Styela clava: one gene and its partner. The protein of the gene in region 1 interacts with the protein of each later gene in a biochemical or structural test. Links are inferred from orthologs where the notes say so. Each region holds a gene or a part of one and is shown in the gene's direction. Other genes may lie near its edges.

Region 1 (7,902 bases):
GTCCTATTTGTCACTGAATGATGAAAGAGATTCAAGTTTTATTTTTGCCTTTTCTGGCGTGTAAAAAAACCTGAAAAAATTTGAGGCAGTGTGGAAAGGATCCCGCAACCTAACACGCCGCCGGCAGAATAACTCAAGTAAATTGAAGGCACCGCGATGTTGTGTGACTCGACTTTAAAAACTGTTACATTCGTATTAAACATACCTCCATACTATGCAATAAATCGTACCTTAATAAGGGCATGGCGAATGATAACTATTTCTCTGCCAGAGGATTGATTCGATGCATACATGCTTCAGCACTTTCCTGTCGCGAAAGGATCTTCTCCAGTGCCATTGGTCAAGGATGGGCATTCCCTTTTAAACCCAAAACCAGTGCACCAAAATCGCGCGGCTTTCGCCGAGTTTGCCCAAAGGTCAGCTCGGACCCTGTAACCACGACCTAATCGGGTCAATTATACACCGAAACCAACGCCTCATAACCACTTTCGGACTTCAGAAAAAGTTTTAAGGCCGTTTCATTTTCTACTCTTGAAGATTGATCAGGAAAAACCACTTGCTTCGCCTCGTCATTGCGGGAGAATAAAAGTGGCAAATGTCGTGAACCATTCACCTTTTATTTCAATTTCTGCCACCTTTTGCAGCACCCATTGCTATTTATCATTTACGTATCAAAAGTATCTTTTTCAACTGTTATATTCACAAGCTAATGACGAATGAAATTACAGTGTAATACAAAATTAAAAGACGAAAAAAAATCTAGGCAAAATACGGAGACAGTGTGTAAAAAACATACAATCACAGTCCAGTTAATCCTGCTGCTTTATAACAAACTGGTTAGTCGAGTACCACGTTTTCCAATCGTAGTTCAGCATCTTGACAAGTTTTCCGCCATCTTTAATTTCTTGATTCTGCGATTTGAGCTGTGAAATTAAGTACGGAATAGTAGCAAGAGAAACTGTACAAACTTTACCTGTTCATAAGCCCTAACAATTCTAATAAACTTAGTCACTTCCAAAAATCCCATCGTCATCGCTACCAGGAGCAAACCTGCTCGATATTAGTAAATTCTGCCGAAAAGCAGCGCAGCCACCCTCCATAGCGAAGACACCCGTCTGTAACCAGCGACGTCAGCCGATGGCTTTCCTTGACAACGTTGAGTCCTGATTGGCTGTACCAACGCACGTGATCAGTGTTTCTTTTTTCTCGAACGTTCAATTTGACAAAGAAAGCACGTGACTGCCTGATCAATTTTACGTCATTTCCCTTCGTTCTCACTTTATGCCCTCAGGGTATAAACACATCACATCGATTTATAAAATTGATTTATACAAATTAAAGAACTGTACGGCCAATTTCAACTCTTCAGGAATTATTGAAACTTAGAATATGTGATCGCCATTCAACCGTATCGGCGTAACCTCATTTTAGTTGGAATTAGCTAAATTTGTAATGAATATTCGTTTACTAATTTGGTAGTAAGCATTGCCAAACAGTATAAGATATTGCGTATACCAATATCTTATTTATTCAGAAATAAGCGGCCAATATACTCCCGAACTACACATTTTCTCCTTTCTAATTTACTTAAATCTACTTCATCTTTCAACTATCGTTGAGTAATATGTCCCATATACATAGCAATTTACGAATGTATGTAATGGAAAACTCAAACTGACTTACTTAGCGATAATGTGTGAGCGCCTATCGTGACAAATTAGCAGATTGCGAAAACAAAAACAAGCGATTCTTGATTACGTTGTGATTAAGTCGCATATCTAAATGCAACCATAACAAAAGTTGTAATTCTATCAGGGTCTCGTCAGATAACACATGTTCGGATCAAATGCCCTTATCTTTGTTTTTGGATAAATCCTAATCTGACTACGAATTACGATTAATTTTGATAGGCGATCTCAATAGCCTAAAAGGATATAAAACGAATACCCTCACACACAAATGAATTACACTTTAAATTCATTGACAGCAGCAAATCAATCAAGTTTTGCAAATCAAACGCTTTTCGCTGCGGGACATCGCAAATTTGTCATTGAAGCAAAAAACTTTGAATTGTCGCGAGGTGGAGAAAGAGATTTATGAAAAGATTATTTATTAGGTTTATTTATTATTTCAACGACTTTGTGGGAGATTTAAATTTATCGTTCGCGAAGATCTTTGAAAGCGTTGTTTATGGCGGTTAGTTTATGAATGGGCGTTAATAATTCCGTTTCTAATTATTCGCGACGATACAGTACTTATTTTCTGGCCAACCAAAGTCGTAATTACAGAATTAGGAAGACAGGTGTTTTCTAGGAACATTCAACGATACGGCCAGGACCAGGCAGCGGTTAAGACTGTCAGACAGTCTTGTATTAGACAATTAGAACAGCGCATAATTGCCTGTGATAACGGCAAAACGGAATTAGAGTAATAGCTGTAATGTTAGATTTTGTCTGTTTGTTCATGTCGTTGTGTTGAATAATTATTTAGACTGGTTGGCAATGGTTTATTAGCAGACTGCTTTTTGATTCAATGGTCTCCAGGAATGTCAGAAAGTTTTAATTTTTCTAGTATTACAGTATCAGAGTATTCTGGTATTGAGATATGCAATTATTGCAAACCTAATATGTACGGTTAAGTGTATATATTGCTATATTGTGTATTTCGAATAACATGTGAAACTTGATTGGTTTGCTAAATGATACTTTCTATTCAACCCGTACAGCTGTATCAAAGTTATACTTTTTATTACTGGTGTGACTGATTGACAACCAACATTCTGACATTGGTTTTTACAGGTCACCGTTATCATGTTTTTTTTCCGTGTATTTTTATTTTGGTAAAAAATACACTTCTGGCTGACTAACTTACTTATGTTATGTCTCATGTTTCAGCTTTTGAAAATTTTGTGAATTTCCATCTTGTTTTGTGTGTTGTCATCCAGTACAGCACATACATACATATCTGTCCAGATTCCAAGAATAGCCCCTCCACATTGGAAGACATCAATTATAACAATGATTACAAACCCCTCGTTTATGAGACAGTCTGGGCCTTCATATTGCCTTAGCAATCCAGCACTGCACAATAGACAAAAAGAAAGCGCAATCTAAAAACGCACCATTGGAATCTTACGGTAATCATACTCAGATTAACAGAAGACGAAAAAAATTTGTCTGTAGCATTTGTGATGTTTTAGCAAAAAAAACATGAAATTTTAGTTACCGTATTTTCTCGAAATTACGCCTATCTCGCGAATAAGCCGACTCCCTAATACCAGCTTCAAAATAGTGAATTTATAAAAATTCGCATATACGCCGTTTCTACAAATCGTAATGGAAGACAGCACTTTGCGGATTACTGTCAACATAAAAGGAATTAAATCAGCGCCGACTTGAAGTACCGAATGTATGACATGACAACATTTTTGATTGAAAATATTTTACAATCCTTATTTTATATTAACGTAGTCGAGATATCCTGAGCGGCAACGGCAATAAATTTGGTTATTTTTCGCAAGTCTTCTCAAACATGATTTGTGTAAGCTTCATATATGGGTTGATATATTTTATAATGTATGCCAAAGTGTCTGCCGATTATTTAATTGACTTTGTATACCTGCTGTTATTTGTGTTAATCCTTTAAAAACAAAAACGTGGGAAGCACTTCCTGCCCGATATCGGCACTTCAGAAAGAAAACCCTACCACGAGATAACGTAATTGATTTATGACCCTTCCGTTTTGCTGATTCAGGAAAAAAACGGAAAACACAGCTGTTGCCTAACCCATGGACGTACAGCAATATTTATCACACCATATTCATATGTTATTTCAACTTTTCAGTTAAATGGTTGTTCAAAATAATTGAAATTACAGTTTTATTGTTAAGAATTAATGCTGTGACTGTGAGTATTATTCTACCTGATTCTTACTTGTAAATTTATGTTAATAACGTCTATATTGCTTTTCAATGCGCGGTGATTTGTATTAATGAAGGGATAAATCAGAAGGGATCAGCATAAAACAATTTCTTTCAAATCGCATGTTGTATTAACACATTCTTATAAATCGCTGATTCGGAAGTTGCTATTAAAAGGATTTTCAAACGTCGTAGAATGAATGTCGTTTTGTGACATATTTACAAGCTCCACTATTTCGATGTTGCTCCGTACTGCGATTTGAATAATTTTATTTATCATTTAATTTTAAATATTGTGTCATCACCTCAACAGCGTAAGCGATGTCATGCATATGTAACGGTAAATATTTCAATTATAACGGAGATAACAGTCTTTATCAGGGCAACTGAAAAGGATAACATATCGTAAAGGTGATCAAAATGAGGGCGCCGTTACTTGCGTTGTACCCGATAGTGCACTAAATGATAACGTTTCACCACGAAACGCTGGCCGTAAATCGACGCCAATCAGACTGTACGAGCGTCACGTGTTTAACAACCAATCACAGACTGTACGAGCCATCAGCTGTATGATGAGACAATCACACCGGCACAAGCGATTGTGTGTGTGCGTTCTTTATCGTGAGAACTTAGAGCGGTTTGAAGCTTTTGGAATTACCGGCAAGTTAGCTAAATGTCAATCTCGTTGCGTGATCAAAGTCATGCGCAAATGAGTCGATTTTTTTTATGCAATCTGAGTTATGCGAGTATAAGCCGCCCCCTTAGTTTGGCAACTTTTTTTTTGTGTTTTAAACTCTGCGTATGTGCGAAAATATACGGTATGTGCTGAACTACCAGCCTACTTTATTTTGGCGGCAGATTGTGACTGTAGTGACAGAATTAATAAAATAATATTTTCTGCTTTCAGATATTTATTTTATATATTTCTATATTTTATTTAATCCAAGATATGTCGAAGCCCGAGTTATTGGAAACCTTGAACAACTGTGAATTTTTATCAAAAAAATTGAAACTTGAAATTTGCAATTCTAACATTACATCACTGAGATCGGATACTGTAAAATGTTTGGATGTATTAAAGCCCATACATTCAGAAAATAATGAAGGTAACTAATTAGATTTATCAATTTTGTGATTGATAAAATACTAATATTTACCCGTTTTGTTGTTGATTTGGTTTCTGCGGGACTAACAACTTATTCTTCTTCTATGCTTTTATGTCCGTATTCATATAATGACTGAATGATGGGATGCTGTAGCAAGAGGGAAGAACTATCTTGAATGATTCAATAGTCTTGCTGCACACTAACAGCGAGTTGATTAGTATGCAGCAAGACTCCTGTGTCCTTTTCAGCTTATGAAATTTTTGGTAGATTTCAATTTCTAATATTAAATCAAAAATTTTAAGGTATAATTACATACCGTACTGATAGAGAGAGAATATGAAATTATAAAATGAAAAATGAGTCAGCTGATGAAAATAATTTTTTTTCTACTATCCGACACTTTACATCAGACTTAATAAGATATAGTAATATTGTTTAAAAGTTTGATTTTCAAATACGAAGCTTTTATATTATAGTTTAAAGTCGTCTCCATCGAAACTGCATTTGGGCTGATATTTCATGTTAGTGGTCAGACTTAAAAACCTCAATAAGTATGTAATGAGCCAGTAATGGAGCTCAGCCCGGTGAGCGTGAGTAACGGGAGTGTAAAACTGTGATGTCATTATAATTGAGACAAGAGAGCTATGCTCAAATATATGGACACGTAGCGCCACCCAATGGCAATAATTTTGATGACGTCATAGCGAGAAAAAAAAGTAATAGCCTTCTGGAGAAAAATTTTATCTTTAACCACTGAAAATTTCAAAGCAATTGGTCCAGTATTCGAAGAGAAAAGCAATTTTTTAAAAATGGAGAAGGGGACAAATAACAATAACAACAAAATTTTGAAACGATCGTTATGTCCACTTTGTGTCCAATAAGTCTTTAACCCAGTGGTTTTCAAACGATGGGGCACGACATTTTCACAGGGATGGGGATCTAAATAAAACTATTTGTTAGATCTGATCTTGCCTGCCTCATTTTAGATATTCACATTTCTTTATTGTTTAGTTAGAGATTGCGATTCAATCCACGTATTTTCAACATGTTTTTTTAAATAAACATGCTTTCGCCTTACTATCTGTTATTTGTAGCCATTTCTATCATTAAATTAATTTAAAAAAACTAAATTATGCTACTGTTATAAATATGTCATTTTTAGAGTAAATTCCCCGATCAGACTAATCCAAAATTTATCTTCGTTCTAATCAGATTACCTTTTGTAACTAGTACAAATAGTTTTCTATAAACTGAGAGTTCAATAAAAAAAAAACTGTTTCAATTTATGTATTCATTCATGTGTTGTATTGGGTGGTAACTGACTCAGATGACCGTAAATCGTATCGTTAACTCCCAGTCATACCGAAAACATTTGGTTCACTTATTTTGTTATTATTATATTTTATATTATGTGTTTTCTGGTTGACGAAATGATGAATTCTCTCTCTCTATTGTTAGCTTGTTATTTTTGAAGCGTTTTAGCAAGGTTTCTAGTGCTTTTAGATGTCTTTTCACTACTTTTAAGCGTTTTAACAAGGTTTCTAGTGTTTTTAGACGTTTTTTTCACTGTTATTAAGCGTTTTAACAAAGTTTCTAGTGTTTTTAGACGTTTTTTTCACTGTTATTAAGCGTTTTAGCAGGGTTTCTAGTGTTTTTTCACTGTTTTCAAGCGATTTAGAAAGGTTTTTAGTGTTTTTAGACGGTTTTTCACTGTTTTTAAGCTTTTAGCAAGGTTTCTAGTGCATTTAGACGATTTTTCACTGTTTTTAAGTGTCTTAGCAAAGTTTCTAGTGTTTTTAGATGTTTTTTTACTGTTTTTAATTGTTTTAGCAAGGTTTCAAAATAACACAAGCCTTGACAAATTTTGATGTTTGAACCACTGCTTTAGCCAGCTTTAACCAACAAATTTCTTATTTTTTAGACAATGAAGAAAATTCAAATTGCAATCTCACATCGATAAGTCCACCATTCCCATCTCGAAGACGACTACGTGGCGTATTACAGAACAAGACCAATGTTCAAGACTTCAACGATAAAAAGACATTGAATACCAAAACGAAGGAAAAAGAACCTGTTTTGAAGGGTATATTGAATTTTCTGACTCTGAGCTAATACTCCTGATTGTCTATTGGCACGTCTGTAGTTTCGCGCAACTTAACTCAGAGAAGAGTCTCATTTATATCTGAGTGAGTCCACCAAACTTTACTCAGAGATGAGTCTTCTTTACTTCTAAGAGGAGTGCCCATAACTTTGCTCAGAGATGAGTCTCATTTACCTCTGAGTGAGGACATGCAACTTCACTCGAAAATAATGCTCTTTTACTTCAGAGTATAATAATATAAACTCGCGGTTTTGAACGTGAACGTGCAGTCCAGCGTGCCGCAACAAATTTCAGTTTAAATTTTTCACTTTTGCTTATGCATTACTTCCTAGATGCAACAAACCCTGGTACGATAATAGAACTTGTTTCTAAAGTTCCTTCTGTGCAGAAATATTTCGACGTCAAGAAGAGGATTGGCTGGGGTGAGTATTGTAACAACACATTTGTATTATTTATTGCATTATAGACATCTAATACATATAACTATTCCTATACTAAGTGACGTATCTACATAAAATGGAGCCCATGTCAAAGTTTAAAAATTCACCTTTTGTTCTTTAATTAAAAATTGTAACGAGAATTGTTGAATTGAGATATTTGTACATTATTGTTATTCTTCAGGTAAAAATACCGGTTGCAATTATTTCCAATTTGAATTTTTTTTGTCGAAATATTTCACTTGGCTATCAAAATTGTTCACCTTTTTGCACCCAATGCAAATGGCCCCATGGCTGCCATACCCTAGATACGCCACTGCCCATACCCAACATGGGCTG
Region 2 (7,749 bases), about 18 Mb from region 1:
TTGTGGGATTCAGGCGGTTCGCACCGGTTCTATAGAACCGTCTCACGGAATTTTATGAGACCAGTGAACCGGTTACCATTACTGGTTACTGTCAATGACTTTTAGGCAACAGAACCGACTAGAACATATGACTTTTCTGATGGAACCGGCTAACAAAAAATTTGAATCCCACCACTGGTTGAAAGCCCTTGTTTCAGATATTGTAATCCTTTTATTTCTATTTCACCCAACCCTTTGAGTTCATTCAGAAGGTGCTGACATTTTTATACTCGTTAATTTGTATATTATAGTTCATCCAAAGTTTCCTAATGCTAGAAAATTACTGTTAAACTATGCGAACAAAGGCATAGGTACCTTAACATAGATCAAACATCCCAGATCTTGGTCCACAGAAATAAAAAAGCAAGCTGAAATATCGTGATAATATAGTGATGCCAGTCTCAGTCTTTTGAGACTATCCGCTGTTGAGACTATTTTCCAATGATACTCCAAATGATAATTTAGAATATACAGGGTAACCAAAAAAACAAAACTTGTAAATTTCTTAATTACTCCTACAAAAATAAAGAAAATTTATTTAACACTTGAACCTCTGTTTGTGTATGATTCTTCCCAAAAGTTGCAGTAATATAGAACGTTTTGCACAAACGTTATGTTCTCTCTGGAATATGTTCTATAATCGGTGCCCCAGAGGTATGTGCATCTGAATCTGTGGGCTTCAAAGAATTTCTTTTTTTGTGTGCGAAAATGTTATAAAAAATTTTGCGATTGCTACACTAGTACCGGTAGCTGTACTACTTCGTTTTGGTCTTCGTGCCCATATATTAAGCATCGCTCTCTTGTTTTTAGGCTGAAAATTTGTCTGGTATTCAACAACACAGCAAGGATTTGAATGAAAAGGCTCATGAAGTCACAAAGCATTTTTTGCTCAATATTGGACAGGCTTGTGCAAGTTTATTGGATCAGTTTGATTATTCTCTCACAATCGATGATGTCAATTCAGGAAGTATGAATTATTGTCATATGTTTTGATGACTGGTAAATAATTTGATTTGTGGCTGGTTCAGATTAAATTTGACACTTTGTGTGTTGGATTGAAAATTTAGTTTCTACATTATATACGAATATTTATTGAAAAAAGTATCAGTTTTTTTAGTAAAGTTGATACTTATACAATTTTTCATCCAGTTAACAGGAATGGCATCAATGTTTAATTAGCGAATTTAGTCTTTCAAAATATCTTGATATTGGACAATTTTCGGTTTTAGCGTTGAATTTCGAATTTACTATTGAGGGAAGAGGGCAGGATTAGCCATCTAACTTATAACTTGTGATCTAACTTGTGTAGTAACTACTTAATAGCCCCATGTGACTGTATAAGTTGATGATAATTTTAGAGATTAGTTCGGCTTTGTAAGCTTAAAAGGGATTACTGGGATCATCACAGCCATAGGGTAGTTCATGTATCCGCTGGTTGGTTAATGCTTCCTTTGCCATCAAGTTCATACATCTAAAAAAAGTGACTGATTAACTATTCCCATTCCTGAAATGGACTGCTAACCGGATAAGAGGCTGTGACCCGCTATATCAGGGGTCACCAACCTTTTCGAGGCCGAGGGCTACTTTCTGGGTACAGATTAAGCCGCGGGCTACCAATCCAATGTACACTTCTAAAAAGTCGCAGCTGTGTGGCCATCGTTAGTGTGCTAAGCGTTAGGTTCGCGAGGATAGTTATGTGCAAGAGGATTGCTGGACCCCTTGCTGCCGTTGGGATGGCCCGGGATAAATATGTAAATCCCATCCTATCCTGAGTTTATGTCAAAAATGTTGATTCACAAAGATAGGTTGAACGAAACAATGGTCTCGTAAAATAGAATTGCTGTATGATTTGAATCGCGAGCTTTTTCTGTCCGTACTGCGCTGGATAGTTAGCGCGGTAGATTGCGTGACAAGCCGTGAAATATCTTTTCGCTTGCCGTCGCTACAATCGCCCCACAGATGAGACACGCGCAGGCTGTTTTCATGTTGGTAAAAATATATCCACCCCCAATCATCGTGAAAATGGTGGGTTTTTCATCGTTTTCTGCCATTTTTCTTTGGAATCAATAATTATATTATTGCTGCTCCACAAACCAACGGAAAAGAAAAAGCGCGGAAGTGCGGGTTCGTAGTAAGTGATATCAGTGTGATGTCATAATTGGAAGAGTGTTAATTGACCCGTCACATTACTGAGGGTCAAATAAAAATCAGGTTGATGGCTACAATAATTAATATAGTGCCATTCCCGATTCCCATATAAGTGTGATTTATACAAAAATAGCAGGACAAAATTTAATCGATGTAGCTTACTCATAAGCGCCGTTATTAAGCTCAGTTTGGAACAGACCTGCGGGCGACTTATATGGTCTTCACGGGCGACTTGGTGCCCGCGGGCAACGTGTTGGTGACCCCTGCGCTATATGATAAACCTGTTTCGTCTTTTTTGATAATCCTATTTTGTAATTATTTATATTCATATTTTTTAGAAATTGAGTTGAAAAAAGAACCGACTAGTATATTACTAAGGAAGAAAGCTGCTGGTATTGATCTGCATGACACTTCATATAGACCATCTTTGCCACGTGGACCTAATGTCTGGCCAGGGCTTGAAGTTTCTCATCTTCTTGAAAAGGGAGAAGTATTAACTGAAGTAGCAGGTATTGAAATTTTGTCTTCTAAATTTGAACATTTCTTAAAACTCACTGACTCATTGCGTTACGGGTTAGGTTTATTGCCCTTCATGGAGGCATTTGTGAACCCTGTTTGGGAGTATCTTGTTCAATGAATTGGTGGATCTCTTATCATCACAATGTGGCTTCCTTCGCTAGGTATGCCTACACAAAAATAACTGATCACATTATGGTTACTCTCAAACTGGACTTCCTTTTGGGCGAGATAGAATTTTCCTATTTATTTCAAGGGGGAGAAAATCAATTATATCTATGGCAAGTTTATGTCCCGATCAAATCTTTATGTGTCTGTAGAATCTATTGTAAAAACGTATCAATTGAGGCTATATACCCTACTGGTTCATGTCCCAGTTATGTGCACCACCCTACCTCTGAACAGATTCAGTCAATCCTCTTACTCACACATATCCATCACACGATTTGAACCTGCTGACCCAAGGAACAGATTAGAGGTGCAAGTGCAAGTGTGTTTCTTCTCTAGTATTAACTTACCCTGAATGGCATGAATCTAAACTTCAATCATTTTCTCAAATTTACAGAAGACATAAATTGCAACAAGACGACGCTTTCACACACATCATCCGTAACCACGAGAGATAAATGCCTTACAGCCTTCACTGAAGCCTATAATTCAGTCATGGGTGAAATTAAAGAACAGGAAGAATTAAGAACACTCAGTGAAGAGAGATGGGCAGAAAATTGGCGACAGTCTGTTCGAAACGTCCAACAGCTTTATACGTGATTGATAAATTCAAAAGATTAAGTTGTTATAGGATGTAGATGTATATATATCCCTTGTATTTTCCACTGTTTGTAATAAAGTTTTAGTTTCATAGTGTATATTATTTAAGGAGTGAATGAGGTGCGTTCTACCAGAAATATTCCAGTTGTGAATAAAAGCGCACACGCCTTGGACTTAATAGTCGTGACTCGTAGTTTTGACGAACGCATCATCACTTTTCGGATAAAAGGTCCTAAAATCCCTTTAAAATAACTGTTGAAATGGCTCCAAAGGCCAAAGTAGGTATTTTACAGAAGAGCGTGCTGCCACAGGTTCGGTGGATCTTTGTAATGGTGTCGCAGTCATAGTCAAGTTTATTTTTTCCCATTCCCATTTCCTGAAAACACATTTTTACTGGGGAAGGGAAGTCGCGGGGAACCAGGAATGGTTATCGAGCAGCGACACCCGAACCATAGAAGTCTGAGAACTACTGTCCTAGAAATTGTTTAGTTGCAGTAATCAAAACATCGCTGAATCAGAGGTACTTAAGTAGTTACACAACACTAAATTCGTTCAGTCATTGTATTTCAGTTCTCTAACATGAATCAAAACAACACAAAAAGTAAACAGAATACAGAGATATCAAAAAAAGCGGCCATAACTTTTAATGATCGCAACGATTTATGTCGGAATAACGAAATGAAATGATGGACTGATTGAACTCGCGATTTAAAATCGTGCAAATACTTCTACACAATTTAAAATGATATCAATAAATAGAATCAATCAAACAATTTATTTTGGTCACTCTGACCCAATTAAATGTAAGAACAGAGCCATTGGGGAAAATTTACAATCGGGCAATACAACAAATTACTGCTTATCCATATTATTATATCACATCTAAAATGGAAACCAGGCGATTTTTCCTCTCGCTCTCTACACTTTTAATCCATATTTAAGTATGACAGTCCAAAAGTTCATTGGTAGTTTAGATCTGGCCAAAGCCGCGTTTAACTAGGTTTGTGTTTTTTGTAATTTTTCTTTATGTGTGTGCTGGTGGGCGGGCACATGATCAACTTCATGTTTCGAACGTTTTTAAAAGTTTGGCTCGCGTTTCAGAATTCTCTATTTTTAATTTGTGTGTGATATTAAGTTTTCAAACGTTCTAACTATCTATCCATCCCATATTTATCCCTGCTTGGAAAAGTTTTGAGCAGATCGATGTCATTGAGCAGACGCACCACATGCAGCGCTGCGCCACCAGGAGCTAAACAACTTCGATCTGGCACTCCTCTTATTGACCGGTGAACATGTGTGTGTGGCGGGAAAGCTAAACATTTGCATAGGCTTCGACAATAAGCCAGTTTGTTTACCAGGTTGCCTGACACCAACTCAGTCATCTTTTGCCTAATTTTTGATGTTCTTGACGTTTATCGGGGAATAAACCATGTCTGATAGATCGACACGTGAGTATTAAGTTTATAATACGTTTTGCTAAGATTTCACTGTGTATTGCCAGGCTTAAATCTGTAAATGCTATTTATTCAACCATTTGCGAAACTGATTGCCAAAATATTTTAAAGCGTCGTACCTTAAATCTAAAAATAGAGGATGTGATTTATTTACCGTATGTCAGTATGTGAAGCAAATTTAAAAATATACACCAACAGACCAATGCTAGATCTGGAGATTGTTTCATGTTCCTGTGTTCAGATCTTCTGGTCTATGAACATAAAAAAATTGAGTGTCTGTTTCACTTTTTCAACTGCCCTATAGGACAGTCTCACAATTTCTTGACATTTGCCAAACTAGCCTACTGGCCTAGGGCAATAATACTGTAATACATTAATGCTGTAATGTAATATCTGAATACAGAGCGTATGGTAATATGTGGCCCTATTTTCTTTACTTTAGCTTCAAGAAGAAGAAGAAATCCCAAGTCTCCTGGTCGACCACAGGTGTGTTTCTTTTAGTCTTACAGTCTTATATTGTTAGTCAATCTGTGTTCCATTTACAGAATTATAGCTGGATTTACTGTTATTTTTGTATTTTTCAGCAAAGTGATACCAGTAGGCCCTATTGGGTTTATCTTGAAAAGAGCTCAAATCTGCAAATAGAATTAATATAGCAATTTTTCACTGCCATTGATTTCAATTGATAATGCATTATCAATTCTTGCCCAGTCTTTGAGAATAATAGCCTATGTTTGTTTTCTTCATTGTCAGGTTCCATCAGGAAGTAGTGATCCTCACCTCTTACCAACATCACCTGCCAGGTTATTGGATGTTTCTAGAGATGCAATATTGCCAAGTCCTGGATCTATTCTGGGTAATGTATAAATTTCAAAAAATTGGCAGTGCGTGACTAACTAGTGCATTGTTCTAAGCGTTAGGAATACACTCGCCACTACACACCTCTAATTACTCTGCTTGGGTTCGCAGGTTCGAATTTGATGTGGGGATGGTAATACGCAAGGGGAATGCTGGCCCCTCATCGCCCCCTCTTCACATAACCGCTGGTCGCTTATGGCTTCCTCCGGCATCTAGTTCATGCTTCCTAAAACAAATACCTGGCTATTTAATCCCATACCCGACATGGACTGTTAACTGGACGAGATAACGTGGTTGGCTATATCATTAAGCCATATTATCGGCTTTCCTCTCTCACTGGATAAATATGTCAATCCTAATTCCTATTCATGTTTGAGTCTGTTTGAGTCTGTTCCGGATAAGCATAGGATTTTCATATTTATCCTGAAGAAGAGAAAGAAAGCCGCTAGTAGGATGTTTCAATCCATCTGGTGAATCACAGTTTCTCGTCCAATAACCAGTCCATGTCAGGTATGGGAATAGTTAACCAGTTATTTGTTTCAGATTATGTGCGAGAGTTTCACTGAACTTCCTGTAGTAATAGACTGGCTCCCATCACAGCTAGCCATTTTTGACTTTCTCCACCATCAGAGTTCATGCATTTGGAATGATTGACTGATTAGCTCTTCTCGTACTCAGCATGGACTAGTTTCCCATATGTTACTCTGGGATAAAAATAGGATAATCCTTCACTGCTTTTATAATTACTAACTACAAAATACTAATCTGCCGACTGTTGCACAGGTGCCAGTGAGCTGAATTTGTCTTCTCCATTGTTGTATGGCACACCTGGTGCTCGTACTCCTGGTCGAACTCCTCGTGGAGCTGCTACACCAGTACGACAGAGACCTGATCTAGGAAGCAGCAGTAAAGTTCGAACTGTTAATGTGAACCCAGATGCCCAACAGGTGATAATCTTACAATTGACATCAGAACTGCAAACTCTCGCCTATCAACAAAATGTTGTGTTGTTTTGCTTTTATGACAGATACTAGAATGGAGTGTTCTTCGGAACTTTCCCTCCAAAACAGGTTTTTTGGTCTATTGGCCATTTCCAACTATCTTTATTTAATTTTTCAGTCGTCTGATGCAGCGCCGCAAAATGCAGACATATCTGATGCTGCTGATCAACCTGCAGTCAGTAACCAACTTGTAATATGGGGAACGGATGTTGTTGTCAGTCATTGCAAGGAAAAATTCAGTCAATTTGTTACCAGGTACTAAATCATAATTTTTATGGAGCAGTTATCGTTATCAAATGATGATTTTATCACATTGTGTCTAAAGTCTAAAATGAGGATTTCACTTTAGTAAATGTTTTTGAAATGTGTGTATAACCTTGGAATTCTTTGAATCTTTACCCCAATTCTCTATGCCGGGGGTGTGCAATCTTTTATACGAAAGGGCCAGATACAAATAACTAGATGAAACCATGGGCCTCACCTTTTTTCAACATATGCTTTGTAGTAGTTGCAGGCACAAAAATGTTGGTTATTAAGCTTATGACATGCGTTGTTCGCTTCGCACAAGCTAGCTGTAACGTCATAGACATAGATGATAAATTGCACCCGGGTATAGGCTTTGCAACAAAAAGCGATTGGAATTACTCCCACGTACCAGATTAATGAACTGTATTAAAAATTTGTTTCTTTCATTTACATTTAATAAGGCTTGTTTCATAGTAAAGCTTATTAACCGAATAATAAATTATTATAAATCTCTTGATAATATTAAGAGAATTGAAAACGCATTAGACTAACAAACATGAAAACATCTTCTAATTATCTTATTTATTTCAGATTCATTGATCCAAATGCAGACGGAATGGAAGTGGATGACATGGATGTCAACCAACCACTTTATCAACAGAAACTGGAAGAGGTTTACTTTATTACTAAATAATAAATCAAATAAATGAGTTAATCAA

Evidence for each region.
Region 2: of the proteins of cell division cycle 7-related protein kinase-like (region 1) and DNA replication licensing factor mcm4-B-like, one has a biochemical effect on the other in vitro, tested with the Homo sapiens proteins (2 studies listed by BioGRID). The link is inferred for Styela clava from reciprocal best matches to the Homo sapiens genes CDC7 and MCM4.

The regions. Positions count from the first base shown.
Region 1 is NC_135254.1:1,872,843-1,880,744, reverse strand, and holds the start of cell division cycle 7-related protein kinase-like, read left to right. Parts: upstream 1-4,826; 5' UTR 4,827-4,868; coding exon 4,869-5,025; intron 5,026-6,946; coding exon 6,947-7,108; intron 7,109-7,458; coding exon 7,459-7,548; intron 7,549-7,902. UniProt on the Homo sapiens protein: Kinase involved in initiation of DNA replication. Phosphorylates critical substrates that regulate the G1/S phase transition and initiation of DNA replication, such as MCM proteins and CLASPIN.
Region 2 is NC_135254.1:19,994,796-20,002,544, reverse strand, and holds the start of DNA replication licensing factor mcm4-B-like, read left to right. Parts: upstream 1-4,668; 5' UTR 4,669-4,900; coding exon 4,901-4,919; intron 4,920-5,367; coding exon 5,368-5,411; intron 5,412-5,678; coding exon 5,679-5,781; intron 5,782-6,566; coding exon 6,567-6,730; intron 6,731-6,902; coding exon 6,903-7,039; intron 7,040-7,621; coding exon 7,622-7,703; intron 7,704-7,749. Other genes in the region: coiled-coil domain-containing protein 180-like, read left to right, coding at 850-1,006, 2,526-2,696, 3,269-3,471. UniProt on the Homo sapiens protein: Acts as a component of the MCM2-7 complex (MCM complex) which is the replicative helicase essential for 'once per cell cycle' DNA replication initiation and elongation in eukaryotic cells.